4 linked regions of the Struthio camelus genome follow. The protein of the gene in region 1 interacts with the protein of each later gene in a biochemical or structural test. Links are inferred from orthologs where the notes say so. Each region holds a gene or a part of one and is shown in the gene's direction. Other genes may lie near its edges. The genes, in order: HDAC3, NR0B2, GTF2I and HIF1A.

Region 1 (7,909 bases):
GGAACACAGTCAAAGTTAGGAGGGCAGAAATAACACAACTGCTGAACCTCTTACATCTCAAAGACCCTCAGAGCTGAACTGGCCCATGTGGATGGGGAAGAGAGGTGAGCAAAGGGAAGTGTTGGCATACATTTGTTCTTGCCCGCTGCTGAGGCAACCCACAACGCATTCAGACTAGATGCCCCTTGCAGCCATCTATGCGGTGGTGAGAGCCCTCGTTCCTATCCACAAGCGGTCAGGCGATTCATGGAAGTAACACTCAGGAGCCCAAGATTCTCTTTTATCCCCATGACTTCACCAGGTTACAGCACATCATACGTGCCATTCTTCTGTCTGTTATCCTGGCTGGAAGACAGGCCACGGCCATAATATAGTCCCAGTACGGAAAGAAAAGACCACGGGCAGTGGGAGACCTTTTGGGCCTGATCCTGCCACGCGTTGCTGGCGACACAGGATAGGAGAAGTCTCCTGACCACAGTCTAGCGAGCTGCCACAAACTACAACATCACATGAGTCTCCGCTGATCAAGATCTCAGAAGCAGTTCACGCCTTGCCTTCTTCTTCTCAGAAGAAGTTCACGCTTCTCTGAAGAGACACTGGGCCAAGGACCTTGCAGTTTGGACTTTCTCCTAAGCCCTAGGGTAATGTAGTCATGGTAAGCTTTTTTCCCATTTGTTCTCGTGCCCACGCTGTCCTTTAGAATAAATCATTCTTTCTCCTCTCTTGTGTTTCCGCCCACCCGATGTATTTCTGCATGGCAATCCTATCCCCTTTCAGCCTTCATTTTTGCCAGGCTAAACAAGCCCAGTTCACTTAACCTCCTCCTGCAAGACAAGATTTCCATTCTCCTGCTGCCTCAGCTGTCTAAGCATTTCCAAAACCAAGGAGGCACATGATGGGGAGAAGGAGGAAGGCACAGCAGCCTGTCCTGGGACATATCCTGGCTCTGCCTGGGGTGTAGGAGGTTGAACCAGGACAAGCAATGAGCTCCTTAGCTCCGTTATCTCAGTCGATTGCCTTCCTCCTCCTCCTGGGGGTCTTGAGCCGCACCGGCTGCAGCGCATTGTACTGGGCACTCGGGAATACAAATAACGAAGCAAAGACTCGGTGCCACCAGTCGCAGGATGCCCAGAGTCTGCTTTGCCTTGGATTTGTGTCCTTGCTCTCCCCTGTCCTTCCACCTACTCCTGCAACAGCCTCAGCTCCTTCCCCCCATCCTCTGTGACCCCAGTAGTTAAGACAGAGCACGAGATCAGACAGCGCTGGAGCCAACAGCAATTCAGCAACAGCTCCCGGGCAGGCAGCTGCCTGTTTGCTGCCTGCCTGCTGCACTCACCGCTGAGATCCCCCCTGCCTTTCCTCCCCAAGTCACTCACGTGGACTGTCCTGGCAGGTGCATATATAAATCCTGGAGGAACCTCAGGATCTTTGAGGCTTCTGTCCCTCTTGTGAAATTGCCCAGAAGCAATTTCAAATTTAAAATTTTAAGCCATCAGGTTTGAAAGTTACTGGGGGAGGGGGAGGGAGGGGGGGAGGGAGGGAGATGGAGAGCATGAGCCACATGCATCGTCCCCTCGGGTGACCAGCTCCCCAGAGAGACGCTGCTCCATCGCGCCATGCAACAAACCATCCCACAAGCTGCAGTCCCAATTTATCACCATATTGCTGCTTTTCTGCTCTTTTATCACGGCTTCTCTACAGTGATTATAATACACGTCATACCACAAACAATGCCAATGCACCCATTTTGTGGATCATCCGCTCTGGCCGTATTGATTGTCCACGTGGCAGTTAACAAAACAGGGCAGATTTCTAGGCTCTGAAACTCCTGTGGACAGGCTCCTTGTGGGGTCTCTACCATGATGCTCAGCATGGAAATTGCCACTATTTCTGTGCAAATTCTATGCCTAAATTGCATTTCCTAAAACATTACCCTGAATCTTAAAACCATTTAAGACTTTCTAATGTGCCCAGCAAGCTAATGGCCTTTAAAATGCAACGTATTTTTGCTATTTGCACACAAAGAGTATCTAAAAATATCCTTCTCCTATGACTTCTTTGCAGTGCTCCAATACCTGTCAAAATGCCCTGAACAGTTACTGATTTTCAGAAAGTGAATTCAGCTAGCAAAGTCTCCATGCAAGCAAAATATACTCAAGGAAGGAACGCATTTCTTACCTATTTGCTCCTTTCCCATAGCCAGGCGGGTCTGTGGCTCAGCCGAGCCGTTTACGTAGCTCTACAAACCCGTGGGGTTGTTATCTGGTCGCTGCACCTTTCTGATCTGCAAACAGCCCGTCATGCTGACTGATCAGCCATCGGTGAGACGTCAGCTGGAGTGGAAACCCAGCCGGGGAGCAGAGCGCCGCTGACTTGAATCATTTGTTGCTACATCCTTGCTGCTTAGATCTAGCCCACTAAAGTCCACATTTATTTGACTTGGGGCTACACTAGGCTCCTGGGCCCTGAAATGCACGCTGTGTCTGGTGCATGTCGGGTACCGTCTGCACGAGGCCTGCTGCCACATGCAGCCCCAAGTGGCATGGGGGAAAGAGCTACTACAAGCCAACCAATTTCCCTTCTGCATGTTTATTACCCAGGTAGAACATGCTTTTGCTGAGAAGCTGGGGAATCTCCCGGTACAAATCCGTAGTGCTCTCTATTCTGAATCTGCTCCTCTTACCATGCCCGCAGGGAGCCCCAATTTTGGGGCTGCCCATTTGCCCTGTTCCTCTCTGATACCCTACAGAAGCTGCCATGACCTATTATACTGCAGGTGTCCGTGACCATCATGTCTCAAACGCAGCATCCTTCATCTCCAACCTCTTGCCAGTGGGATCCACGAGGGCAGATTTTCCCAGCTGCACAGGAAACCTGCAGGACCGATTCCCTGCTGACCTCAACTCTTCTGCTCTCAGTGAGGTTGAACTTGACCTAGAAAAGTAGTTTCTGTTGTTGGGTTCGTGGGAGGATGTTTTGTTTGTCATGTCTGTGGTTTAGCTGCAAAAATAAAGCTGTTGCAAAATTCCTGGCTAGTCTTTCGTCTACTTTAGGTCTCCCAGGCTCTTCCTGCCCGTTGCGTTTCCCTGTGTCTTCCTTTCCAGTGGTGTTAGCCCTGGAAAAATGGGACTGCCTCATCAGAAATTTAAAATAGAGAAGCATCAGAAAGCTTTGAAGCAAAGCGAGGACTACATTGCAAGAGCCAGGCATCCCGTCTCCAGCGCAGGGCTATCGCCGCAGCGACAGCGACTGTCTGCAAACCATCAGCGCCATCTGAAGCTGCTTCTTGTGCTCCCCAGCGAGAGGCCACCCTTTTTCTTCTAATTTCTCTCTCGGGATGTTCCTCTCCGTCAGTCCTTTCCCACAGCAGCTGTGGAAAGTCGGTCCTTTCCCGCAGCCCCTGCTCCCTCTCCTCCTGCGGCCAGCTCTCTGCGGGCTCCGGGGACGTCCCCGCCACGGGAGCCGGAGGAAGGTCGCCCTTCGCCGGCCCCACAGAAGGCCAGTTTCACACTCTTGCTAATCCCTTTTCTGACCCGCTGGGAAACGCCGCACGTCGCTTTCCTCTTTTCTTCTTTCCAGTGATAACACGTTTTTTGCCACCTCCTTCACCCACCCAGGGTCTCCTGCTCCTGGGGCAGGTGTCCGTGTACCCTGCCTGTTCTCCAGGGGAGGTTTAGGGGTTTTTCCCCTTTCCTGGTCGCTGTTTTTTTTATACACTTCAATTTTCCCCGTAGCTTTTGTTCTCCGGCTGCCCTGCCTGCCTCGAGGTGCCTCCCTGTCCCCAGTCGCTGCCAACCCGGGCTGATTATTTCTGAACGCTGCCAGAGGTCAGGAGGACCCATTTCTTGCGGGCTTTTCCCGGCTGTGCCGCGCCGGGGTGGGACGTTTGAGGTTGGCTCGGCCACGTCCCCGCCACGCCGGCAGCCCCCGGCCCGCTAGCGCCCCCCGTTCGGCGCGGCGCGCGGCCCCTGGACCCCCCCAGCGAAGGGCTGAGCCCCGCCGCCGCCGGGCTGCCACCCCGAGCCCTCGCGCCCCGTCCATGGCAGGGGCGGGCGGGCAGCCCCGGCCCCCCGGGCTCCCGCTCGGGGAAAGCGCGGGCAGCCGCCGGCTGTCCTCGACGGCAGCAGGGCCGGCACCAGCGCCCCGGGCCTGCCTGCGGCCCGCCACGTCCCGCCGGCACCTCGGAGGCAGGGGGCCGAGCCCCGGGCAGCCAGGGAGCCCGGCGTGGGGTGACCGGGGGGGGTCGCTGGGGGCAGCTGGGGGGGACTGGGGAAGTTAGGGGACTGGGGGAAAGCTGGGGGGGACTGGGGGGCAGCTGAGGGGGGACTGGGGAACCTAGGGGACTGGGGGGCAGCTGAGGGGTGATTAGGGGCAGCTGGGGGGGACTGGGGAACCTAGGGGACTGGGGGGCAGCTGAGGGGTGATTAGGGGCAGCTGGGGGGGACTGGGGAACCTAGGGGACTGGGGGGCAGCTGAGGGGTGATTAGGGGCAGCTGGGGGGGACTGGGGAACCTAGGGGACTGGGGGGCAGCTGAGGGGTGATTAGGGGCAGCTGGGGGGGACTGGGGAACCTAGGGGACTGGGGGGCAGCTGGGGGGGACTGGGGAGGCCGGGGGGGCTGGGGAGCAGTTGGGGGGGACTGGCGGGCAGCTGAGGGGTGATTAGGGGCAGCTGGGGGGGACTAGGGAAGCTGGGGTAACTAGGGGGCAGCTGAGGGGGACTGGGGGCCGCCGGGGCGGGGGGGGAGCAGCGAGGGCCGCTCCCACGCAACGGGGCAGCCGGGGCTCAGGGGCACGACCGCGGCTGCGCACACCGGGCCCCGCCCCCAAGGCCCGGCAGGGCTCGGCGAGCCCCGCCCTCCCCTCAGGCCCCGCCCCGGCGCGGCGGCTCCCGCGCGCGGCGGCGGTGGGCGGGCTCGGGCCGCGACCGGTCGCGGCGCGATGACGTCGGCGCGCGCGTGCGCCCGCGCGCGGCGGTCCCGGCCTCTCCGCCATGGCGAAGACTGTGGCCTATTTCTACGACCCGGACGTGGGCAACTTCCACTACGGTGAGGGCAGGGCGGGGCGCGGGGCCGGGCCGGGGGCGGCGGTGGGCCCTGAGGAGCGGGCAGGGACCCGGCGGGAGGGGCCGGGGCTGCTCGGGGCCGGTGCCCCCCCCCCCCCGCCCCCGGTCCCGGTCCCGGCTCGGGGGCCAGCGCCCCCCCTTCCCGGTCAGCCGCCGGTACGGCGCTCCCGCCGGGCACAGCCTGGTCAGCGGGTCGGCACAACACCCCCACACCCCCCCGCACACGCACATTCTGGTCCAACGGCCGGTACAACGCCCCTGGTCAGGGGCCGGTGCGACACCCCCCCCATCCCACTCAGGGGACTGGTACAACCCCCCCCCCCCACACACACATCCCGGTCAGGGGACTGGTACAACCCCCCCCACACACACACACATCCCGGTCAGGGGACTGGTACAACCCCCCCCACACACACACACATCCCGGTCAGGGGACTGGTACAACCCCCCCCCCACACACACACATCCCGGTCAGGGGACTGGTACAACCCCCCCCACACACACACACTATCCCGGTCAGGGGACTGGTAAAACTCCCCCCCCCCCACACACACACATCCCGGTCAGGGGACTGGTAAAACTCCCCCCCCCCACACACACACACACACATCCCGGTCAGGGGACTGGTAAAACTCCCCCCCCCCACACACACACACACATCCCGGTCAGGGGACTGGTACAACCCCCCCCCCCCACACACACACACACATCCCGGTCAGGGGACTGGTACAACCCCCCCACACACACACATCCCGGTCAGGGGACTGGTACAACCCCCCCACACACACACATCCCACTCAGGGGACTGGTACAACCCCCCCACACACACACACATCCCAGTCAGGGGACTGGTACAACCCCCCCCCACACACACACATCCCAGTCAGGGGACTGGTACAACCCCCCCCCACACACACATCCCACTCAGGGGACTGGTACAACCCCTCCCCCACACACACACATCCTGGTCAGGGGACTGGTACAACCCCCCCACACACACACACATCCCACTCAGGGGACTGGTACAACCCCCCCCCCACACACACACATCCCACTCAGGGGACTGGTACAACCCCCCCCACACACACACACATCCCGGTCAGGGGACTGGTACAGCCCCCCCCCCCCACACACATCCCACTCAGGGGACTGGTACAACCCCCCCCCACACACACACATCCCACTCAGGGGACTGGTACAACCCCCCCCCACACACACACATCCCGGTCAGGGTACTGGTAAAACTACCCCCCCAACACACATCCCCGTCAGGGGACTGGTACAACCCCTCCCCCCACACACACACACACACATCCCAGTCAGGGGACTGGTACAGCTTCTCTGTCCCTTTAGATTCCCCCTTGGAGAGCCTTTATCCTCCTGCCACCCTGATCCTAGCTCGGGGGGCTGGTGCAACCCTCCTTCTCCCCATTCTGAGGGCTAGTACACTCCTCATCCCTGCTTGGGGGTCAGAACTACCCCTCTATCAGTCAGAGGGCCGGTGCATCTCTCCCTTCCCCATCCCTGGCTTAGAGGGTCTTAGGGTCCCCTCCCTCTCCTAAATCTTGTCTTGGAGGATCAGTTCTCCCCATGTTTCTCCCCATCCCAGCCTAGCATGCCAGTATACCCCCAGCCTGGGGGGCTGGTATACCCCCCACACTGATTCATGCTCAGGGAGCTGGTGCCCTTCCTTCTCCCCCACCAGGCCCAGCATAGAGGGATGGCTCACGGGCCTTAGTCCCTCCACCCCCTGGCAGAAAAGTGGCTCAAGGGGTGCAGGTCTGTGACTCCTCACGTTGTTTCCCTTCCAGGAGCAGGGCACCCCATGAAGCCGCATCGCCTGGCACTGACCCACAGCCTAGTCCTGCACTACGGGCTCTACAAGAAGATGATCGTAAGCATCGCTTCTCCGGGGGCAGCAAGGCTCTGGCAGGGCATGTGGGACCCTCATCCCTACCCCTGCAGAAACACGGCTGTGGGAGGCAGCTGTGGCCAAACAGCCGTTGGAGGGAGCTATTTACCCCTGGGCAGACAGGAAACGTGTTAGAGATCCATGCTCTATCCTAATTTTCAAGGCTCACTTTTGCCACTAACTCCAAATAGTAGCCTCTATTTTAAGGTTTGGGCTATGTTAGTAAGTTCTCCAGGGCTTTCTCATGTTGCTGCTTCTTGTTCAGCTCCCGTTTGTGGCACAGCAGGTAACAGAGTTGTTACAGGCAGGGCTCCAAGCGGTCTTGGCCATTTTCACTAACATGAGGTCATCATTAGCTGTTGGCACCTTGTTAAAGCTTGTGCTTACAGTACCATACCTGGAGCTAAAGCTGTGACGGTGAGAAACGAGTGAAACGTCAGTGTCCATAGCTGCTTCTAGGAAGGACCCAGAGACCATTGTGGGATTACATGTTATCATAGAGAAGTAAAGCTGAAAAGAAAACCCAAGGGGTTAGCTAGTTCATCTTGATGCTATAAGGCAGGATTCACTAATCCTATCTCATCCCTGCTAAATGTTTGTCCAGCCTGGTCTTCAAAGTCTTTATTGCCCAACCAGCTCACACAATCTAGTTCAGTGCTTTGCTCTCATTACGATTAGAAAGATTTTATTTTCCTGAAGTCTAACTTGTGTAAACCTGATAAAATGTGACTAGCAGGTAGTGATTACCAAAAAGCAAACTTAATTCTTCTTATCTTTCAAGAAAGGAACTAATTTGAGTATAGCAGAATATGGCTACAAATCTGTGGTACCCCTAATTTGAAATATGTTACTTCACTTGGGACAGGCGGAATTGAACCAGGCCCCTTTCGCTAGAATCTTTGTTCATTTTGTTGTCCATTCCCATAGCATAGT
Region 2 (7,742 bases), on another chromosome or scaffold:
GAACTATAAACCCCAACTCACTTTCTACTGAGAAATATGAGCACATTTGTTAGTGATACTGTGTCGGGACTTTTCCCTTCATTTTCACCCTAGTCTTTTGATTGAAAAGCTAGACGGGGGAAAAATCAAAATATTTCAGTGTAACCCTGCCTAGTTCTTCCTCATAGAGGGAGCATATTTCCATTAAGACAACAGAAATATAAAGATTTTCCATTTGTTCTGTACTTTGTGCAATCTCAGCAGGTGCCTAATCCAGCCATTTGACAGCCACTCAGTATGTCTAGGAAAGCTGGTGGCAAGGAGACACGGGACCCCAGTTTCTGTACCCGCTTCTGGTTTAAGGTGATGCATGTCTTAATCTCTGAGAGTTGCAAGGCTTCAAAAACTGGTTTCAAAGCACTCCGAGTTCTCCAGAGGGAGGGCATCCAAGTTTGGCACGCTACTGCAATAGCACGCTCTCCAGATGAAGTACAACAGACCATTCCCACATCTGGGCTTTTCCCAGGCATGAGATGGAGATTCCTCTCAAATTAAGATTTAGATTACGAATTAACACAAGGACGAGACCTTTCCCCTAAAGAGATTATAAAGGTCCTTGAAACGTTGCTACTACTGCAACAACAAATGGCAGGGAGCAGAAATAGCTAGGCATTAGTTTAACACCACTGTCACGACTTACAGGAGAAATATTTGAAAAGCAAGGTATTATTTGGGAGCCAGTTCCTACATAAATCTTGACCCCAAAGATATCTCCAACTTCTCATCTTGTTGTGACTATGAAAACCAAAGTCTCAAGGTCTTTGATGCAAACGGCTGTACTGCTCAGAGGGAAAGCTGCGTACTCGGGCACGAAGCCAGAGCAATTACCCCGTGGTCAATAATGCCACCAGAACTGTGCAAAGCCGCACGTATGAGATCTAAGTTCTGCTCCACGAGACAATATAGATAAAATCTGAGAACAGAAATTAAAGCGGAGCAAACTTTCAGATAGAGGTTTCAGGCACTGGCTTACGTATATCCCAGGAACTTCAGTGAGGAATTAGCACTTCTCCAAAGTAGCTCAGAACAGCCAGGCCTCATGTAGTTTTGGAACCAACCACCAATCATTTACGGCTTTGCTTTTAAAAAGGAAAGCAGGATTTATTTACACAACTTGAGTCCAGCGTCTCCTAGGATACAGAAATCAAGACATGCATCTCCCAGCCTCTGTTCCCAACTGCAGGACAATCCACAGTGAGCAAAGCTATTCAAATCGCCCAAGTGTAACAGTGTGCGCGCACTGCATTTCCCTCAACATGTTACATCACTCCCTCATTCTACACCAGGAAGGCTTCTGAAATGGCACCACATAAAACATACTGCCTTTCCCACCACCCTCTCCTCTTTTCACATCTTTGATATCAAAGGATGAGCAGGATGGGGGAGAATAAATTCTTCAATTTTTGTTGCGGTTATTACGGTGTCAGAGGCAAGTTAAGAGACTCTTTTGTATTCATCACCTTTTCAGAGGACCACAGAGCATTTTAACAGACACCAGCCAAGGACGCTAACACTTTTCTTCTACAGATAGCACAATAAGACACGGATTTGCAAGAACAGTAGCCTGGACCTCCAACAGCATCTGTCAGTGCTAATCTCCGAAATTCTACTAAAACATAATGCTGCTTAGGTTTTCATTCCCTAGGAGTACAGAGTCCCCAGGAAATCTGGAAGATTTGCTCACTAGTCCAAGGAAAACAGCAGTAGGCGTCATCCTATTCTTACTTTGAAACCATCCACCTTCCCATCCCTTCGCTGCTTTAGTTCTTCCATTTTACAGACTAGACAGAGTATCTTATACGCAGCACTGGCAATCATCTTTGCTAACATTCAACATGGCAGCAGTTCCTGCTTTGCTGTCTGGAGAGTTCCAGTAATCCAGAAAGTTCTTTCAGAAGGCATGTATTCCAGCATTTTTCCTCAATCCTACACCACGATCCAAACTGACTATATGAGCTACAAGTATCTGACCCCCCAGTTAATATCAGCTTCCTTGTAAGACCTGATGTTATCACCTACAGTTTTAAAGCCAGGAGGGCAGGTGAGGGGCATATAGTAAACACACAGCCTCTAGACAACAGAGTCACAAAGTAGTCAGCATTCTGAAAGAAAAGGTAACTGTTGATATACTGGTAAGCACAAGCAAGAAACCTTCAGAAAGTCTCGCTAACTGATGTTTCAATGCTCTGGTCCTTATTTCACTACAAAGAAACTAGTTAGTTTTACAATTCTTGTGCTGGGTCAGGAATACCTGCTGGATATCAAAGACATTCAGTTCTCTCAGGCCAACAAGGTAGCCTCGATCCTCGGGCTTGCTCTCTGGCGTGTTCAGTCCGTACAAATACTGCAGCACAGAGACAAAGGGGCAGCAGCATGTGCAGGGATGTGGACTTTGTAATTTTTCTGAGATGAACAAACAAGGTAACCTGGGGTTATCAACACTGCAGTGTCTGTCACCGTTAAGTCAGAGCGTCTGGCAGATTTGCTTTTCAAACAGGCCTTTGGCCAGAGCGTGGCAAAAACTTGCACCATTGGTATCATTTGAACAAGCCATCATGCCTCACCTCAGATAGGGGTAGCTTATTATTACCTTGTTTCAGAGGTGTATTTCACCAACATCACAGACTGCTGGTTCCCAGGTGTATTGGGAGGAATGCTTTGAGTTATTCAGGAAGGGAAGTCTTAGCATGGCACAGAGAGTATGTAAGTTAGAATGACTTTTTTTTTTTTTTTTAAATACCTTTTCTGCTACTCCATCTTCGCCACCAGTGAAGAAATCAGTTTTCCGCCTCAGGAAACTAAAGAATGTGTTCACAAGCTGTTTGAGGAAACAGAGGGTAGGGGTTGGGGTAAAGAGGAAAAAAAAAAGAGCAATGAGACCAGATCACTCCCAGTCATCCCCTGTCTCCTCAGTAGTCTTTGTTCTTCTTTTTACTTCCTGCCTATGTCTGTGTTAGGATCATATTAGAGTCAAACCCATTACCGTTTCCCAGCAAAAAAACTGAGGACTTTTGTGGAGATCCAGCTTACGGATTCCCAATTTTCAGAAGATGCATTTTTGTGTTTTACATGAAGAAAGGGGAAGCAGTTCATTCTCAGGCCATCTTCCCTTGGAGATGCATCAACTTTGAAATCCCAAGCTGTTACTTAGACCCATCTGACGCTGGAACTTCTTTTTTAATTAAATATACACATACATGTATATAGATACACGTGTATACTATAAATTCACTTCTTTGGTTGTCTAAGCCCTCAGAGCTTGCAAACCCACCTTCCCCAGCTCTGTGACTTGTTTACTTTTACAAAAGACTAACACGTTTGCTACCCACTAACAGCCTAGAAGCAACGGATGGTGGTCTGCGCCCTGCAAGACATGCGACAAGACAGAACTGCCTGTCAGGTGTCCCTGATGAAGTAGAAGTTGTGAACTGACATACTAGAATACACCTGCAAGAAATAATCTCAATGAGTATGGTTTCTCTTTCTTCTTTTCCAGGAATAATGTCTTTGTCAGTATTTCAATCAGAAGCTTCAGTCCAGTAGGAAGAGCTGTTATTAACATCATTTCCCCAGACCACCTGTGGGTGGGGGATGTTCCCCAGAACTGTAGTAATCTAGCTGCATGTCATCACCTAGACCCTCTGAGCAGCCTCCAGCAAGAGTCACATCAGAAAATGTGAGTGCAAAGAGTATCAGTAATGCAGCTACAGTGAGGGAAGGGAAACTGTATTCATGCTTAGGCATACTTCTGCCTATTTTATGACTGCAGCCAACACATCAGGTCTCACAAGGCAGCTCTCAGACGGTCATGCTGAGAGTGTGACAGCTCGACTTGATCCTCCCCATGCAGTGTCTAGTTTCGCTGCAATACGGAGAGGGATCTGCCTTTCCACACGCCTCTAACGCCTCTAGCAAGCCAACGGTGTTAACTTGAACGAGTGCGAACGACCCACCCATAAAACGCCCCAGCTGCTCAGGGGCGACGAGACGGCCGCGGGAGGCGGCAGGAAGCCGAGGGGCATGGCCGGGGCCCCCCAGGCCCTCATCAGCACGGCGCTAATTAGCCCTTCCTCCGCGCCTCCTGGGCTCCAGGTCCCCCCGGGGGCGCCGAGAGCAGGAACCCCCAACGACGGGGCGCTGGGACACACGTGCCCACCGGGGAGGGCCCGGGGCTCCCGGAGACCCTCGTCCCAGGGAGGCCGGGCCGCGGCTGCCTCCGCCCCCTGCCTCGGGGCCCGCCCCTCCCCCACTCACTCCGCCCCCCGCCCCGGGAACACGTAAAAGCTCCCGCCACGGCCCGGGCTCGGGTCCAGGCCCGGCGGTGCTACCTCGCGCACGCCGCCCTGGTGCTGCTGGGCCATGGCCAGGAGCATGCCGTCGAAGCGGTCCTCCTGCTCCGCCGCCTCCTCCGCGCTCAGCCCCATGGTGATGGTGGTGGTAGGGCCCGCCGCCGCCAACGGCCCCCTCAGCCCCTCACGCCGGCGACCGGAAGCGGAAGCGACGCGAGCGGAAGGCGGTGCGCGAGGGCCCGCGCCGCCCGCCAATCCTGAGCGCCCGGCCGCCCCGCTCTCTTCGCGGATTGGCCTTTGCGGCGTCCAATGTGCCGCGGGGAGGCGGGACCGGCGGGGCGCGGGGTTTGGTTGCTATAGCGACGGCCGGTCTGGGCCTTTCCAGAAAGCTCGGCGAGGCCGCGTGTCCCCGGGGGGGGGGTAGGGGTCAAAGGGCAGAGGGCACGTCACGGGAGGGGGGGCTACCTCCCCGAGGTCAAAGGGCAGAGGTCACGGCCGGGGGGGGGGCCAGCTGCTGGGATCCACCCCCCCCCCCGCGGCCTCGCCCTGAGGGGGCTCCAGCCTTGGGTCTGAACCCGCCTGGTTTTGGCGTGACTGCTGCGGGCAGGCAGCCGCGCTGCCGCTCGGCTCTGTCCCGGCGCTGGTTCCGCCAGGGCTGCGAGGAAACGTCCCAGCGCTTTCTTGACCGGGGCGCGGAGGCTTAAAATTCAGCCGGTGTGAAGGGAGGTGACGGAAAGCAGCCTTGTGGAGCGCTGCCGTTGAGCTGCAAAGAAGCCGGCCCGGTCGCCCTCGGGGATCTGCTTATCTGCAGGGACCGAAGGATCCACCTTCTCTTGTGTTCGCTGCTCTCTTCCGTGCACGGCCCCTGCCTGCCTCTTGGCTCTTTTAGGTCTTCCTGCAACTCTTCCCACGCCCCCCTACGTAGGATTTCCCTTCCATTTACAGCACCGGTCTTGTAGCCAGCCTTTCTTCGGGATGAGGTGCCTTAACCCTAAGGAGGGTGAGGTCTTCTGACTCACTGGCTCCTTCCTGCTATAGAAATTCCTCACTTTGTTGCTGGACCCCTTGAAATAAGTAACCAGGTGCGGCCAGACTTTTCTAGACCAACTTCTGTTCATCAAGTGATAAAACCATCTGGCAATTCAAGGCAAAAATGTAAGAACCTGACCCTGCCCTGCCTCGTATTTCCTTTGTGACACAAGATCCTTTGGGCCCTGCCTCAGATTGAATACTATAATCTTTTTAGTTCACTGGGTTTCTCGTCCTTAACTGTGACAACATGAGTCCCTTGTCAACAAGGTTGGGCAAACATCTGCTGATAAAACGACTTCCAGGTTGCTCTTCCCAAGGCCGGAGCATGCAGGCCGTTTGCACCAGGGTCCTCGCTCCAGACGAGTGCCGTGTGTGTGTGTGTGTGTGTGAACTTCTTGGCAGTGACACCTGCCGTATAGTGCTGCCTGATTACACGGCGGGGCCTTGGTGCCATGGTACAGGCTGGGTTAATGACTTTGTTTAAACTGTTTGGGTAATCGTGATAAGGCCGCCCAACCTGCTGTCCTGTCCCCGCGCTGCTGGCCCCGCTGGCACTTCATTGAGAAAACGGCCATTGACGCCATGTGGAGAACTCGTTTGTTCCAGCCAATCAGTCCAGGGATGGCTGTTTTTTTTTTTTTTAATGAGGACCGCTTAATCACAGAGCGGTCAAGGCTATGAAGGGGTGTTTCACTTGTGACTGAGCCTTATAAGAAGAGCTGGTTAAAACAGCTATGGGCTGGCAGAGCTGGGAGGAGAGACTGTGCCCGGGGAGCTTTGATTGCCGCAGGGGGTTGTGACAGTGCCCTTCTGCTTTACGGATCTCCCTCCTCTGCTGCAGCAGGAGCTGAATTTTGCTGAGGATCCAGGCACCCAGCTCGGCTATGACAACCAGCAGCATGGACGTGGACTGCAAGAGGTGCCAGTGCCACAGCGAGGACAACCGCACCGCCATCCTCTACACCCTCCTCAGCCAGAACTTGAACCACAGCCGGGTCAGCTGCAGTCCAGCCCACCAGCGCTGCCTGTGCCACCAGCGCCGGACCGTCTGCCTCCGCACGCCCCACGTCACCTGCCAGGCGGCCTCCAATGTGCTGGTGAAAACCGTCAGCTTCATGAAAAACCTGCCTTCCTTCCAACTGCTGCCCCGAGAGGACCAGCTCTTGCTGCTGGACAGCTGCTGGGTCCCCCTCTTCCTCCTGGGGCTGGTCCAGGAGATGGTGACATTTGAGGTGATGGAGACCCCAGCCCCCAGCATGCTCAAGAAGATCCTTCTCGATGGCCAAAGCAAACAGCAGGAGCCCGAGCGGATGCAACCCACGCTGGCCGCGGTGCAGCGGCTGCAGTGCTGCCTGAACACCTTTTGGAGACTGGATCTGAGCCCAAAGGAGTATGCCTACCTGAAGGGCGCCATTCTCTTTAATCCTGGTGAGTGTCGAAGCCTCACAGCCCTATCTGCTGGTGGGGAGAGAAGGCCCCGCAAGCATGAGCATCTAGAAACACATTTCGTGGCTTGGACTGATTCAGAGCACGGGCAGGAGGAGCTGTGCACGGGAGAGGAGAAGAGGGCTGGTTATCTTATCATGGATACCTAGTATTACATAATGCCGTTTACTGTTGGGAAGTGGGGAGGACAGATGTTGAATGTAGTGCTAAAATCCAGGGACCTTGCCTAGCCTGCAGACAGTAAGGACCCCAGGACTTATTTTGCCAAGCATGGGTTTACCCTGTTAACTATTTTTGCTCCCTCAAAGCAAAGCTGCTACTCAGCAGCCCCAAAGTGGCTACGTCTTAGTAGTGCTGCGTCCATTTAATTAATGTGGCACTCGGAGTCCCTTCAGAGGTAGTTGAAGGGATGGGAATAGTAGAAACTGGAGCTGCTGTGCAGCCTCCTTCTTCACTGGCTTTTTCCTCCTTTCTCTCCATAGATGTCCCGGGGCTGAGGGCCTCCCTGTACATTGAGAGCCTCCAGCGGGAAGCCCAGAGAGCGCTGCAAGAAGTCCTGCGGCCCCTGCACCCCGAGGACCAGGGTCGCTTTGCCCGCATCTTGCTGATTGCCTCCACCTTGAAATCTATCCCTCCTGCACTCATCACAGACCTCTTCTTCAGGCCAGTCATCGGCAATGCAGATATTGTCGAGCTCATCACAGAAATGCTGTATGAAATAACCAGCAGGCAGCTGGCTCCTTCGTCGCGCATGGCGCTCTGAGGGACTGCGCTCGGCTGTCAACCCCACAGACGTCGCCTGCTCCCCGAGTCAAGTGTCAGAGGGCGGCAAAGTGAATCTGGGAGCAAGGTTTAGTGAGGCAGGTGCTCTGTACTTTGCAGGGAACTGGCTTTGTGTGTGTTTCGTTAAGCCTGGGGAACAGCTCCAGAGGCTGT
Region 3 (7,822 bases), on another chromosome or scaffold:
GCGGGGAGGAAGGAGGGGGAAATAAAATCCCTCGCTGGGATGACAAAGCTTCACTGGCAACATCCCAATCTAATTTCCTCCTAATAGCAAAAAAAAGATTTTACCTACCTAAGTTAGTTTGAGGAACTGGCTGAACCCATGAGGCAGAAGCACTGCTGGCTTCTGCGTTACCTGGCGATATTTGTTCTCTAGCGGAATTAATTTGGCGTGTGCCCGTGCTAGACCTGAAGTATCAGGTTTCGTGTTTGATCTCTTTGTACTTTTTGCTGTCTCGGCCTCTGTTGCAACGCCGGACCGCATCCTCGGCGCCGGGCTTGGCTGGAGGGGTACCAGGAGCGGGTGGCGGGATGCTGGCACTTCTCCTGCTCTGCCATCTTGTGCACAACAGTCTCGGCTTTCATTTTAGAAACGCTCACTGCCTGGCTGTCACGGCTGGAGGAAGATTTGGGAAACACAAGGTGATGCAGCAATGTCCGTGAGAGCCTGTAAGTGCAGCATTCATTTTGAGATACGAATAATTGCTCAGCAGCCACCGATACTTTCAGTGCCCGTATTAGCTGCTGTGCTCATCAAAGCATCTTATTGCAGATTTGCCAAGTGTTTTCAAAGAGGCAACTTCTTTTGTGCTATAAATAAATGCATTGAGGAGAGTAGCCATGACCTATCACTGACGCCTATCATTTTGGATAGTGTGAAGTTTTGAGTTTGTTTTTTTTTTTAATCCTGATATTTGGAACAATGCATATTTACTAACGCTGTAATCCTGTATCACGTGAGGTGAATTATTTTTAAATGCTTCTTTGTTCTCTAGTGCTTTTACTATCCAAATTCTTGTCCTGTACAGGCGTTTGCCAGCCTTATTACGAGTACCACGTTCAAAGTAAAAATAAAGGATGTCTTTATTTACTTTTTAACAGAGGAAAAGCCTAGTGAAAGAAAACTGCAGAGGAATCTAGACAACTGGAACAAAGGAAAAATTGATAAAGGAGCGTGAAATAGGCTTATTTGGAGGTCTGCTCTGGAAAGACGTGGGTTGCATAGTCCATCAATGCACAGACTTATTTAGTCCATCATCGCTAACGTTCTCTGATACAAAGAGTACTTTGCTCCTGGGGTATAGCAGAGGTACACTGTTTGCAGAGCTGAAATTTAAACATAAGTTTGGGGAAGGGAAGAGTTTATATCTACATATAAAAGAATCAGTGTACGTCAGGGAACTGTGAACTCCCATGCTCTGAGGCTCTACTAGATTTGGACATGGCTTCCAGACATTGAAGTTTAATTTCTGCACAAAATGTAAAACACAATATAGTTCTGCAGTGTTGTTTTTTTTCCTAAGAGGTTGGGGCTTCCTCCCCCACTTCCTCTCTATTCAAAGGTTGTGCAGTGATTCCTGAAACTAAACCACTTAGAGAAAGAGATGGCAAAACACCAAGTAAAGGCCGGCAAACTGAGGCAAGTATCCTGGGCTGCACAAAGATAAGGTAATACAAGGAGAAAAGAGTTAGGCTCTGATCCAACCGCCCTGCCCCACACACGCAGGAAGTTTTTCAGGAGAAGAGGTGACTGCTTGGAAAAGCAGGTCCATGATGATCAGTGAAAGATTGGCTGCTTTCTACTTGCTATCATTGCCTTCAGGCATAAATCCCCTTCACAAATTTTTAAGGACTCCAATAGTTTCAGTTGGCATTTGCTAGGGTTTTAGGACTCTTAGATGTTAGATGTTTAGATGTAAGCTGTCATGAATCTTTAGATTTACCCACAGAAACTTCAAATATGAGTTGTTTGAAATCCCGTACGCTATGTTTAGCTGGAGGTTAAATTTATAACTCATTGCATGTATTGCAGCAAAACCTTCTGATAAAGACAGCCTAAAACTTCTTAGTTCTAAAGAGAATAATACATGTTTCTGGGGATGAAAGAGAATATTTTCCAAAACTAATGAGTAAGTGAAAAAATTGTATGCATTTGTTTCAATTTGTTTTCAGAAGGAGAGTATGAACTTGAAATGTAATTTGTCTTTTTTAATGATGATAAAAATAACTCTGAAGTCTACTCCTCTTTTTCAATGTTTGTAGTTTTACAGTCCAGCTTCCTTGTTTAAGAGAAGTGTTTTGCTTGCCTTGTAGCTGTGTGAAAATCTTGTCCAATCTGTAGTTGAAGCCCAGCTGGTTAAGTAGTAGAGGGAAAAGTGAAACGATACAAAATACTTTAACGCAAGGAACTTAGGTGAAAGTATTTTCCTCCAGAAATTGCTCCTTGACTTTTAAACCTAGAAAGAACATCTGGATTAGCTAGTCTGATGTTAAATGTAACAATCTATTCAGGAATCTGCTGCTAAAATTCCATGGAGGCTATGCAGAAAGTCGAGTGTCTTTTTCAGAAAGAAGCTGCTTAGATTTCCAAGCTTTTAAGTGATGGAGAAAATGGTAATGTGCATGTTGCAGTTGTTAATTACTCTAGCTACTAAAAACATACAAGCTACTTCTAGTCTGAGCGTTGATTTACAACAGCCAGTGGCTGGAAGTGGATGTCTCTGTTGGAGTTAGAAGCCTTAAGGAACTAATTTTTCAGTTAGTCATCTTGTAACCACAATGGGTAAACATTATTCTGAATAAAGCATGACTTAAGTTAACTCTCATTATGTATCTTTTTTTTTCCTAAACAGTAACCAGTTCCATAGCTCATGTGGCTGGGTCAGGTGGTGGAGAAGGATATGGAGAAGTGGGAAGAATCCTCTCCCAAACAAACAGCAAATTTCTACTCCTCAGAGGACCCACATGGGAGCAAATGAGCCATGGCAACTATGGACTTGCCAGCAGGAATCAGATGCAGCATATGACTCTCATTATAACTCATGACACGATGCTGCGCATCAAAAACATATCAGCCCCGCAACCAGGAGCAGCCAATACCTGTGGGTTAAGGGTCGAGGCACAGCCCCTGAACAAAGTCCTGGCAACGATTTTGGGATTTTGAGAACCGGCATATTTACTTAGAAAATAGTTGTGGCAGTTTAGGAAGTTGTGGTCCCCACTTATGATAGTCCTGCATCAGAGGTTATGCCTTTCTCTGCAGATGATCAGGAGAAAGGAATCACACACACGCTGCAGGGCAAAATCTTCCGGGTTAATTTAAGGTGGTGATGAAAGTGAGTTTCATGCTAGGCACTGCTGAATGCTTGTATTTTCTTTCCCGCTATTTAAATCGAGCAGTTAGGATGTCCAGCAGAAAACTGGTAAGGAACCACTGATAGTGCCACAATGTCTTAAACTGCCCCAGCTATGCCGGGTTTGTGGGTAGGCATTTGTTTTGCACAAAGTCTATTGCCTTAACGGTGATGGTATGGAAACTGACATTCAACATTACCATAAACAGCGGACACTTGTAACTTTTCCTGCAGAGATACTTTTGCAGCAGATAGTTTCTGAGGGTTAGGTTAGATTCTGAGTTTTATTCCCCATTTTTATTTGTCCCTCTTTATTGTAAGTAGGAGGATGCTAAATGCTTTCAGTTGAGCCTTTTTCAATTCCTTTTAAAAATGAAGTTTACTTGAAATCGTAATGTTTTGTGGTTCCTCTTGACCAACTGTAAACAAATCGTTAACGTTCCCAAAATAGAGTTAATGGTTTTATATACGTTGTAACAGTGCAAATAAAATGAATAAACACAATCAAAGCTAAAACAGGAATCTAAACAAAATTTTGACATTTATCAAAACAATAGTTTAATATTGGGTGGGTTTTTTGCTATTTTTAATAGCATACAGCTTTCTGATTCAGAACAAAATTTCAAATACAGCATTTCCCTTTGAAAGGAAACTTGATTTTCCATCCAAAGTTACCCCATCAAACCTAAATTCCCAGGCAAATAAAAGTGATGTCAGCTAAAACATTTGCCTGGTTATGAATGACCTATAAAAATAGATGCTATCAGTCATGCTTCGCACCTTTGGGGAAAAGTGCTAGCATAACTTGCAGCAATGGAAAAATTATTTTTGTGTTTAGAGTTTATTCTAACCAAAGCCAGGCTTCACACTTGAAGGGAAATTGTTGTTGCCAGTGTTGGTTCTCGAGAGAACTGTGTTTGGGAGCGATTTTTTTTATATTACACTTGGCTGATTTTTGCAGTAGTCAATAGAGGGAATGAACGTTATGGGGCAACAGCACTTGGGCTACTCAAGGCTCCTGCTACACGGAGCAGCTTGGGCTCAGACTCGAGCAGTAAGATACAGCAGCGCAGGCTGGCAAGCAGCTGTTTATCCATAAAGCTGGAGACATTTTGGGAGACGGAGGGGGCCGCCCGGCCGAGCTGCCCTCCGGGAGGCGGTCGCTGCTACGTCGCAGGGCTGAACCCCCGGGGGCTGAACCCGCTCCCCCGCCGGGCACGGCTGCGCCTCAGCTGGCCGAGCAGCGCCGCCGTCAGTGGCACAAACCCGCCGCCGCCTGGGGCCGGGCCCGAGGCAACGAGGCAGGGAAATGGCCTCCGCCGAGGCCCAGCGGCGCCAGGCCCCTTCCTCCCTCCGCGGGGGAGGCAGCGGCCGGGCCCCTCCGCCGGAGAGGCGGGGGGTCGGGGGAGGCGGCGGGCGGCCCCGCTGCGTGGCCGAGGGCGGCGGCGGCGGCGGCGGCTCCCCGCTTCCCCGCGCACGGCCATCTTCCGCCCAGGCCCCCTTCGCCCGCGCCCGCCCGAGAGACCTGCGCCGCTCTCGCCGCGCTCCCCTGCCTGGCGCACGGCTCGGGCCGCCTCCGCCTCCCCTTCCCGCGCAGGGCACGACGGGAGCTGTAGTCCGCCGCCCTCCCCGCCGCCCCGCCGCAGCGCGGCGCGGCCGCCGCTGCCGGACTACGGCTCCCGGCAGGCACCGCGAGGAGGGGAGGGCGCGTGCGCAGTTGGGGCTCCTCGAACAAAAAAACCTCCCCCCCGCTTCCCTCCCCCGTGAGCGGTGCTGGGTTCAGGTTGAGAGACTGCGAGGGGGAAAAGGGGGCCGCCGTGCGTCGGCCGGGCCCATCCCAGCGCCTCGCCTCGCCCGGCGCCCGATGAGCCGCTGAGAGGCCGCGGGGCGCGAGGGGAAAGCGGCTTCTGCGAGCGGCTCCGCCGCGCTCGGCCTCCCTCTCAGCCCGGCGGCGGCGGCGCCTTCGGGCCAGCAGGACGCGGGCTGTCCGCTCCCGGCAGCGGGTGAGTGGGAGAGCAGGCGGGGCGGGGGGCTGTTGTGCCGCGTCCCCTCCAGGCGCGGCTCCCGGGAGCGCGGAGAGGGGCCCGGGCGGGGCGGGGTGGGGTGGGGGCATACATCTGCCCCGGGCTCTCCCTCCTCCTCCTCCTCCGCCCCTCGCGGTCCGGGGCGGGTGTTGCTGTCTCTCCGGCCCTTCCCTGCCACTTCGGGTGAGGTGCTGCGGGGGGGGGGGGGGCGGTGGCAGCACCCCCTTCCCTCAGTCCTGCTGCCGGGGGCGGAGCCCCTCGGGCTCCCCCGGGTCGCGCCTCGCCCCGCCCCCGGCGGGCCCCGACCCCCCCCCCGCGCCCCCAGCCGTTGGGAGGACGGGGCGCTACCACGGTGCTGCCGCCTCCCATTGGCTGGAGGGGGGGCGCGCACGTGCGGTGTCCTGGCGCGCGGCGGCGGCGATTGGGTGCGGGTGGGATGGGGCGGGGCGGAGTATGCGAATGGGGCGGGGGGGGCAGGACCCCCCCCCCCGGGAGCGCTGGGGGCGGGGGTCGCTGGGGCAGCAGGCCTCGCTGGGGAGCAGCCCGGCCTCCCTGAGCGGGGCTCAGGCTTCTCCTCTCTTGCCTGGAGCTGGGCTGGTCTGAGTTGTTCCTTTGGACAAGCTCTGAAAAGTATCGAAGGGTCAGATGCTTTCACTGTTAATGCCAGTCGCAGCTGGGATTGGAAGCGCGGAGTGTGCTGACCTGTTTGTTGTAATAGCTCTTTATCCTCTAGCTTCTGACTGTAGCCTTTCAAATGACGTTGCTTAGGGGAGGAAAAAAAGTGTATTTGTGCATGTGAGTCCATGGATGAAAGTTGAGCCCCCTCCCCTGGGAAAGCACACGCTATTTAGGCTATGTGGAGAGAAGTAGTACCATCATATAAGGTAGGAAGTGCAGATAGTATCTAGAGGGTTCCTCCCCACCCCCCTTAAACTCTTGAGCTGTTTAGCTTTTTGCCTTCTCTATGCAAGGCAGCTTAACTGTGAATTCAGTCTAGCGCTTAAGTTTCACCTTACAGATGGCAAATCTACATTCAAGTAAATTGTCAAGGGGAGCAGCTCCCCAGGGAAAAAATATTAGGACAGGAGAGCTCTGCTAGGAGACCTGAGAGTTCACTTCTGGCAGCTGAAGTGTTTGAGGCAAAGTCTCTCTGTGTGCAGCAGAGTAGCCCGCAGCAAGGATTTCCATAGCTGGCCGTGAAGAACTGGTACTGAAGTCTCTCAACCTGATGTCTGAGGGGGATCAATATATAGGTCACACCTGTCTGAGCTGAACTAAAAGTTTTTGTGCAAAGGTGTGTGGTTCACATGTTTGCTAAAAACTGATTGAATTTTTTGTTTGCATGGTGTTAAAACACATCTGGCTGCTTAGTGTTGATTTGCTCTTTGTGAGAACCCTGGAGGAATTAAAGGTATTTTCAGTTTTCCCTTGAACTGTTGGAGCCTTTTTTTCCCTGTGAACATTACAATATGACGTAGAAGTTTGAAGGACTGTCTTGTGCTGGTGAGGACAAAAATTTCTCATGCTGCAAAAGGTGCCAGAAACCATTTTGTTATGATGAGATAAAGAGTGGTAGAGTTTAGACTAATTTGTTTCTCAAATATTATATGTTAGTGTTGATGGACACAAAGAACTAAACTAATAATTATTAACACGATCATCATGTTGACTAAGTAAATATAATTACAGTGGTAAAGGCAGAAATTACCAGGTGGTTGGGACTACTGTGATTAATATTTCATTTTGTTTACATGGTTTAACTATAATTCATGAATACGTGGAAGCTGCCATAGGACACTCTGCATACTTAAAAAATAAGTGGATTTGTTCTCTGAGTCTGTCTGGCTCTAATATAGGAAAGAAGTTCTATCTTAATGGCTAATGTCTTCTTAATTACTCCAAATTAGGTGATGCATCCACTTTTACATAATTGCCTAGTGAGGTATATACTTACATATTGAATTTTAATTGTATCTAAAATTTTGTAATTTTGAAGTTTGTACATATCAGAACATCTAGAAATAGTGAAAATCAGGTGTAAGTGTCTCTTTGCAAACATGATTATGCAGGCTTATGAATGAGAGAAATCAGAGGTGCTTTTAAAGCAACTGTTGTCTGAGTTGCATTTTACTTTTGTAATGCTTCTTAAGGGTAGCAAAGATAGGAATCATCTAACCTGGCTGAAAGTCATTGCACGTTAGTAAGTGTCATAAGAATACCTAGCAGAATGGGAACTAATTCTTATTTTTTTTCTTTTTAAATGAGTCTTGGAGCTATATCATGAACCATATCACTCCCCCTTCCCCCCTCCTCCAAGCAATATGCTGCTGTTCTAGTGTAGTTTTATGCAATTTTTGCGTTACTGGGTGTGCTGAGCACCAGGTGTCTCCTTTAGGATCTTTGGACGTTAGGGGCCCTTGTTCCTTCCCTGTTGCCTTTGGTTACTAACCTTCTGCTTGGCTGCCCTAGGAGAAAAAAATGAAAGTTTCAATCTCTGAACACAACAGCAGGGATTTAGGGCAGTGTATTGGTTTACAGGAAGATCATATTTCTGTGACCGTCATGATTCTATGAATTGTTTCATTAATTTCATCAGGACGCGGTATTGAAAGTAACACGGCTGGCTTGA
Region 4 (7,767 bases), on another chromosome or scaffold:
GGGAGAGAAGATTGTGCCTAGTTGCAGGCTAGCATTAACAACTGTGGATCCCCAAGGCTTCATTCAGGTCTTTGACCACAAACTCATCTACTTCTCTGAGGATAATTTAAAAACTTCATCCTCCTTTCGGTCCACATCAGGAAAACCACCATACCATTGGCAATCTCTGTTGAGGAGCGGCCAGGGTTGGCAGGATGTAGCTGACTGGCGAACCTGCATGACGTAGCCCACCGAGTGCCTGCACGCCTCATGCTTTCAGCTGGTGAAGTCCTTCCTGGGTAGGAAATCCTTCCCTCAAATCTAATTATGCTGAATTGGACTTAGTGCTTTTACTATACTGCAGAATGTGTTACCTCCACTGGGGCACTTTTCTGTGCAGAAATCAAGGTGACTAGAGTCTTTCCAAATGCCTAAATGCACTCTGACAAGCAAGCTTTAAAAGGTGCTCATCGTTTAAAAACATTATTTTGATTTTGCAAAGGGGAGAAGAAGAAGAAACAAGATCCTGGCCTAAGAAGCAGAGGAGAAGCTCTACAAATCAGAAGAGACCAGTGGAAATCACAGTTGCCAAAGAGAGATATTGTCTCTCATCACATACTCTTGTTTCAGACAAAATTTCACATTTGAGAAACAGCGGCATTCACTTTTCACTGTTTTGGTGACCACTGGTTTGGTTCAAACCAAGCATTTTAGTTGGAATTCAATCAATAATGATGGATACAACAATAAACCACCTTTCTATTGTGAAATGAGTTGATGATCAGAGATCTCAGGTTCTTGCATTGTTACAAATAAGAAGCCACATTAGATTATTGGCAGTCCGTAAAGGAGCCAAGGGTCTGCACAGCCATAGAGACTTGAGGGCACTTTTTTTTTCAAGTAAATGATTCTACAGGGGTGCTGTACGTATGGCATGTTTTGTGGTCAAATATCATTAGATTGGTTTGTGCGCTTCCCTTCCCCTTTAGAACTGTGCTTATTTACTGAATCAATAAATATTAATTTCCTAATCTTAATGGGTTGTACTGCCAAGTAAAAGCCCAGGGAAGCCAGTGCTGCAGGGGGTTGTTGCAGAGGCGTCCCAGGAGTCACCAAACCAAGTGACTTAAATGGAAGGAGTCCTTACTTCTTGCTAAAATCCTCCACCTGGTAAGTCCAAGCTCAGAAACTTGAAGTGCTCTTAGCAGAGAAGATGCTTGAGAAAAATGCAGGCCCTGGTCTTATTCCCACTGAAGTTAGCAGAAGTTTTGCCACTGAATTTTGATGGGGATGGGATTGGGTCCTGAGACAGCTAATGTGTACCGTGCCCGTCCTGGCAGTGTTTCACCTATCAGCAGACAGATCTGAAGCCATGGGCAGTAGCGTATCTCGCATCTTCATGTGGATCTGTGCTGCTGCTGGATTCCTTCTGCTGTCTTCGCTGAGCCTTTTGCTGACTCATCGTCTTGCTGGCTGTGAATTTGTCCCAATTAGTCATATGCAAACACTATTTAATACAGGAAGTTGTCTTAACGTAAGTTAGAGTATGAACTTAGTACACCAATAAAGGTCAAACAAAGTGACTAAGGCATTACCTACTGTAATAAGTTTCTCTTGTCAGGCACTGGCAAGACGGGAAAGAAAATATATGCAGAATATTAGAGGAGTGACTCAAAAGTTCAGTAAGGGGAGGGTGAAGGGAAGGGAACTTTTGCTTAATATCTCTCCAGAGCTGCTACAGTACAAAATGTTTAATCGTGGAATGAATTTCCAGTAACATCATCCTGAAACACTACTGGTTTTTGATGCAGAATTCTTTATTACGGGTTGGAGTAACCATGTTCGGTATGAGAGAAATGTGCCTAGTAAGGAGACCACAATGCTTACTCACAGCTCCTCAGCCAGTTCATGCTGGGAAGCTCGAAAGCCTTGAACAATTAACTTGAGCAGTGTTAGTAATTTGTATACTGAGATTTTTCTGTAGCGTCTTTTACTCTGGGATTGCTAACACTTCCAGAGCCTTCGTGCCTGTATTAATTAAAATGATCACAACCTAGCATGAGACTATTCAATGAGGAACTGTTTCAGTGTATTGCGCAGTATGTAAATTTAGATAATGGCAATAAAGGTGTACAAGTGAATCCTAAGATGTCACTATTTATGGGCACCAAAATTAATTGTTAATAAAATGAGTGGTTGGAGGATTGAAAATAAGAGCCCATTGGGTAGGACGAGCTGAGGTCTGTAGCTTTACCGCTAGGCTGTCCTGGCCTGGGATCACATCGGTGCTCGCACTTAGCTCCCTTTAGAAGATGAAGGGATAAGAGGTTAGTGGAAGGACTGCAGTGGAAGTGCAACGGAGGCTTTCGCTCCTGTGTGCGGACCCCTTCCTCCTCATGCGCGGGTTAGAGACGCTGCAAAGGCTGCTCAGCATGACCTGCCGGCCCCCTCTGCGGTGCAGCAAGCACCTCTATTAGCAGCACTTCGCTGCCGAAACTCCCCCGCTGCGTCCCTGGGGCAGGGGCTCTGCAGGGGGGTCGGGGGAGGCACCGAGCTGGGAGTGAGATTTCGGCACCTGCCAGGAGATCCGCCGTTTCACCAGGAGAATTCCTTAGGGGCCGTCACGGTGGCTTTGCGACCGTGCTAAAACAGCGCGAGGTTGCTGCGCGCGAGCGACTGCGTCCCTGCGCTTGAACCGGCTGTACCTCATTTTCAAATACGATGTGTCCACGAGCGCTTGTGCGGGGCTTCTTGGTGTTTATGCAGGAGACCTGAGTTTGAGTCTTGCTCTGATTATTTCTCTTCTTGAGGCTCCACTGAGCAGAACAACAAAAATATCAGCAGTCTACAGCCACACTGCCACGGGCTATCGTGTTGTCACTTCTCATAAGCTAAGCAAAGCTGGCCTTTGTCTGTATTTGCATGCGAAACCTTAAAGGGATAAAGGGAGTCTGTAGCACATGTGTCTCTTCTGTGTATCAGATTGCGGCAGGCAGGAGCAATTCATTTCACATAGAAACTCTCTGTGATTTCTATTAAATGTCACGGTCATTGCCTTTTCTTCAAAAGAAATTACAAAAAACCCCCACGGTTGTATGCAAAAATGACTGTTTGTTATGTGAAAGTTCAGACCCCACTGCAGAAATGTTAGCGAGATACAGTCCTGAAACGACATCGTTTTGCCCTGCAGGTGTTTCTTACAACATTATAAATGCATACAGCAGTGCAGGGTTGTTACCTGTGCCTGTCAAAGCTTATTTTTAAAGGGTATCATTACCTTTGCGCTATGAACTGAACAGCGTCGTATGGTTCACCTCTTTAGGATCACTTAACTTCTTGTTGGAGGAAGCCTACCAGACATGAAGTAATCTCCAAGCTCTAGAGTCCCTTCACTTTGAACTGCACCTTCACCTACTCCACAGAACCGGAAAAGTAGATGACTAAGGCACCATAGCTAATGTTGCTGGGGAGCCTCTAATTTTAAATGCGTGGACTCTGGCCGTGACTTTCCTCCCTCCGCGCCGGCCCAGCTGCGGCTCGCCGGTGCGCTGCCTCGGTCTGTCCTGGAGGTTACTTGCGAGTGTCTCTATCGCCGTGTTTATGTAAGGCTCCTCCATGAAGCTTTTCCTACGTTAATCTCTCTGACAGCAAAGCTGTGGCATTGTATTCCGGCCGGGGCTTCTGTGTTTGTCTCACTTTGATTGTAAGTAAGTGCCTTGTAAAAAAAACAAAACAAAAAAAAAACAAAAAACCCCCCTAAACCCTGCATCCTTTTTGGTGCCTGTTGAAGTAGCGTGCGCTTTCTCAGCTTCGGATAGAGGCATATAGGTGCTCCGCACGGCCTGTTCAGCCTCCCAGCCGGGAAGGCCGCTTGGCTTTTTTCTTCTTCTTCTCTTTTTTTTTTTTTAAGTTGTATCTGTCCCTCTGGCCCACCCCACGATGTGCTTATTCTCTTTAATTGATCTGCGTCTTTCAACGCATTCGCTTGATACGGCCTGGTCGCGTTGCTAGCAAACCTTCGGGAAACGGGAAGGAGTTAGGAACTGGACAGGTTTCTCGCTACAAAGAGGTGGATAGGGCAATAAACGTGCGACCGTGCCAGTACAACGGCAGGGACCGCAGCGTGATTTGGGGCGGTTTTGTGCGTGCGTGCGCTATAGGGCGGATTAGCGAGTCCCACCAGTGACTGCTGGTCGCGGCGCGTAGGAAACGCGGCGGAGGAGACGCAGGCCCGCCGTGCACGCCGCGCGGGGAGCTGGCGGCTGGCCCGAGCGGGCCGGTGCGGGGCACAGCGGGGGCAGCCCCGGTTTGGGGGCTCCCTGGGCGGGGGGGAAGGTCGGTAGGTAGGGCACGGCCAGAACCGCGTTGGAAACGCCAAAACACACCCCCGCGGCGACGGCGCCGGGGTGGGAGCGGGGGGGAGGAGGGGGAAGGATACGACACAACAGGCAGACTTCCCTCGTGAGGTTAAAACGAGCGGGGCCAGCGGCAGCCGGCGAGGGCGGCGCGGGGAAGAGCCCGCCTGCGCCCGGGGCCGCGGCGAGGCGGGGAGCTCGGAGGGGAGGCCGGGGCGACATGATGGAGGCCGGCGCGGCCCGCCCCGCCCCGCACACAGCCCTCCACGTGAAGCGCCGGCCCCCGCCCAGCTGTTTGCTCAGCTGACCCCGCCGGCCCAGGGGGGCCGGGCTCCGCCGCGGCTCCTCACTGGCGCAGCGCTGGGTCCGGGCCGGCCGAGCCCGCCCCCAGCCCCCGCCGCCGCCGTCTCCGTTTCGGCGAGCCCCGCGCCGCCCGCCTCCCACAGCCGCCGCCGCTGCGCCCCGCGCCGGCCGCACCTCGCCGCAGGCCCCGGAGCCTGCCCCGATGCTTTGAGCCCGCGCCGCCCCAGACCCGGCCCCTTCCCGGCCGCGCCGCCATCTCCGCGCCCCTCGGCGGCCATTGGAGCCGCCCGCCTCGCGTTGTGAGAGCGAGCGAGCGAGCGAGCGAGCGGGAGGAGAAGCCAAGGCGGCCGCCATGGAGAGCCCCGGCGGCGTCAGCGACAAGAAAAGGTAACCGGCCGCCGCCGCCTGCCCGCCCGGCGGCCAGCCCGGCCCGCGGCCCCGCGGCCCGGCTCTGCCCGTCCCCCTCTCGCCATCCTTCGCGCGGAGCCGCCTCCCCTCGCCGCTCTCCATCCTCCCCTTTCTTCTGCCCCCCGGGCACCCCCCCTCCTCCCCGCGCTGTTATCGCTCCCGCCGTCCCCCGTTTCCCCTCTTCTTCCCCCTTTTCTCTCTCTCCCCCCTCCCCCGGCCGCCCCGCGTTCCCCCTCTCCCCGTTCTTCAGCCCGTCTCCGCGGAGAGCGCCTCACTCTTTCATTCCTCCTTCTCCTCGCTGTCCACGTCGCCATTTTGTCGGCGGGGGGAGCGGCGCGGGCGGCGGGCGCCGGCCCCGGGGACGGGGGGGGGGGGTCTGGCCGCCCGAGGTTCGCCCTGGGGGCGCCTGCTGGGCCCCGGCGAGGCGCGCGGCTTTGTGCCTCCGGCTGCTCGTTGTTCGGCCGCTGCGCCGAACCCGGCGGCAGTTACGCTCGGCGCATTGTGTGCGGCTCCTCGTTCCGCTGCCGGGCCGAAGCGGGCGGGCGGGCTGGCGGCTCTCACCGACTGCAACGAAATCCCGGCCCGGCCCGGCCCGGCGCGGTCCGGCCGGCGGCTCTGCTGCGGGTCCGGGCCTTCGGGCCGGCCTGGAGGTGAAGGGGGCACGCCCGAGTCCTTGGATGTGCTAAGGACCCTCGGTGGCCCCCGCAATAAACGCATCCCGATTAGTTCTTCGGTGTTCTGGTTTGTCTTGTTTTCTGTAGGATGGTGAATTAAATGTGCTTGCATAAGTAATTATAAGAGGGCCTTAAAAAAAAAAAAGGGGGGGGGGGTGTTGGTTAAGGCCAGAGTGGCAAAAGGAAGATTTATCAATTTGGTTCAAATGCTGTGGAAAGTCTGAACGTGTTTTAATGGTCATTTGCTGACAACGACTATGGGTTTCTGTACTTGTTCCTAAAAATAAGTTGTTAGGCATTTTTTATTTTTATTTTTTAAGATGGCCACTGAAACTTTGATTTTTATTTTATGTTCTGGTTTTGTTCAGAAAGGGAAGGTTTTTTTAGAGCCTTGGAAGCTTAAGCTTTAAAAAAAAAAGGGAGTGGGGGGGCAGAAAGAGGGCTGCTGAACAATGTAAGTTGAGAAGTATGAATAATTCACCAAGGATTGTTAGCTCAAATTAGAAAGAGGGGGAAATAAAAGCCTTAAAAGCTTTTGTTGCATTGCAAAGTTACAGAGTTGGAGTATTTAGGTGATCAGATTTTTAGACTGGATGTTCCACCAATGTGCTTTGTGGAGGGATTAATTGGTGTAATCGCCATCTGCAGCAGACAGTGTTTGTTTATGTTGATATTGATACCATTTTTTGAGATTGGTTATCTCTGCTCTTGTATCAAAGGGTCATCTGAGTAGGTTAAATTAGTAAAGTATATAAATTGTGTTGGATGTGAGACTGAGTAACTGACTTCTAAAATGGATGTTTAGCTTTGTGCCGAGCTAGAACTGTGAATTCAGAGTGTTGGGCTTGTGAATACAGAGTGCTTTACCTCTAGGACTGTATCGTTGTAATGATTATTTCAAGTTATTACAGTGGGGTAGAGGGTGGAGAAGAAGCAGCTTTTAGTCTAATGAAATATATACTGTGGGGCACCTGGGGTGGTACCAATTCAGTAGCCTTTGTTTTTTCAACTGAAAGGTAATAACTTCTGAGAAGCCTTGGAGAAAATGTTGCAACAGAAATGAATGTTCTATCCTTTTCTCTGCTGGCCTATTTTAGTGGCAGGTCTAGAAAGGGGTTTTGAGACTTAGCTTTTTCTCTGTTCCTGTTTTTTTTTTTTTGTCCTTGAGCATTTTTTTTTTTTTTACTTACCGTTCTGTCCCACTTGGGTACTTTTTTGCAATTTCCTTATCCTGGATGTAATCTGCTTTCTTTAGAACGTAAGAATCAGTATGCATAGCTTATCCCTTCCTTCCTAAAGGCAGAGCTCAAGAAAGAGAATTTGGTGTTTTCTGCATCCTGAAGGGTGAGTTAAAGGTTGGGAATGTTTCTTATAAAGTAGTAAGGAATATTCTGACTACTTCTGTTGTAGAGTGTATTTTAATTGAAAATACCATATTGTATCTGTGGTACACTCATCCTGAGGCTGTGAATGTGCAGTAGAGCAAAGATGGCTAAGCAAAAAAGGAAGAATAAGAAAGAGCTCATCAGAGAACTTACTGCAAATCTCAAGCATTGCTCAAGAGCCTGACTTGGTTTAGAAGGGTTTAGGTTTGACTGTGTCCATGTTAAGAATATTTTTAGAGAAAGTACCTTTAGAAAGTTCCAGTCCTGTTTTTTGATGATAAAATTTTGGCTGACTGTAGATGTGGCGCACCTTAACTTTCAGCATGTGTTAAGATCATTTAATTCCTTTTCCCCTATCTGCGTGTATATTTGGGTAATATTCAGCTATTGATAGTTAGAGAGGTAAAGTGAAGTTTTTTTGCTTGCTAATTATGTGCTGTGGGATCCAGAAACTATGGAAATTTGACCAAATCTGTCTCTTATGACTTAATTTCACTTATTAATTATATAACAGCAACTGAAAGTGTGGACTGGTGTACTGCTTTGTTGAAACCATTCTTTTATGTAGTCCCAAGTTACGTAGATCTAACTTGATTTCTTATGGAATCTTAAGCACTCTGTATTTTTTGCAATCTGATTAGGTATTGGCGTTTTGGGGGGTAT

What was found.
Region 2: the proteins of HDAC3 (region 1) and NR0B2 form a complex in vitro, tested with the Homo sapiens proteins (2 studies listed by BioGRID). The link is inferred for Struthio camelus from reciprocal best matches to the Homo sapiens genes HDAC3 and NR0B2.
Region 3: the proteins of HDAC3 (region 1) and GTF2I form a complex in vitro, tested with the Homo sapiens proteins (2 studies listed by BioGRID). The link is inferred for Struthio camelus from reciprocal best matches to the Homo sapiens genes HDAC3 and GTF2I.
Region 4: the proteins of HDAC3 (region 1) and HIF1A form a complex in vitro, tested with the Homo sapiens proteins (2 studies listed by BioGRID). The link is inferred for Struthio camelus from reciprocal best matches to the Homo sapiens genes HDAC3 and HIF1A.

Annotation. Positions count from the first base shown.
Region 1 is NC_090954.1:22,011,241-22,019,149, forward strand, and holds the start of HDAC3 (histone deacetylase 3), read left to right. Parts: upstream 1-4,898; 5' UTR 4,899-4,992; coding exon 4,993-5,047; intron 5,048-6,875; coding exon 6,876-6,958; intron 6,959-7,909. UniProt on the Homo sapiens protein: Histone deacetylase that catalyzes the deacetylation of lysine residues on the N-terminal part of the core histones (H2A, H2B, H3 and H4), and some other non-histone substrates.
Region 2 is NC_090964.1:6,805,166-6,812,907, forward strand, and holds the start of NR0B2 (nuclear receptor subfamily 0 group B member 2), read left to right. Parts: upstream 1-4,733; 5' UTR 4,734-6,244; coding exon 6,245-6,788; intron 6,789-7,288; coding exon 7,289-7,569; 3' UTR 7,570-7,742. Other genes in the region: nuclear migration protein nudC, read right to left, coding at 2,780-2,857, 4,368-4,463. UniProt on the Homo sapiens protein: Transcriptional regulator that acts as a negative regulator of receptor-dependent signaling pathways. Specifically inhibits transactivation of the nuclear receptor with which it interacts.
Region 3 is NC_090957.1:12,519,350-12,527,171, reverse strand, and holds the start of GTF2I (general transcription factor II-I), read left to right. Parts: upstream 1-4,808; 5' UTR 4,809-5,172; intron 5,173-7,822. UniProt on the Homo sapiens protein: Interacts with the basal transcription machinery by coordinating the formation of a multiprotein complex at the C-FOS promoter, and linking specific signal responsive activator complexes.
Region 4 is NC_090946.1:76,628,078-76,635,844, reverse strand, and holds the start of HIF1A (hypoxia-inducible factor 1-alpha), read left to right. Parts: upstream 1-4,761; 5' UTR 4,762-4,989; coding exon 4,990-5,024; intron 5,025-5,320; exon of another isoform or gene 5,321-5,620; intron 5,621-6,713; exon of another isoform or gene 6,714-7,063; intron 7,064-7,767.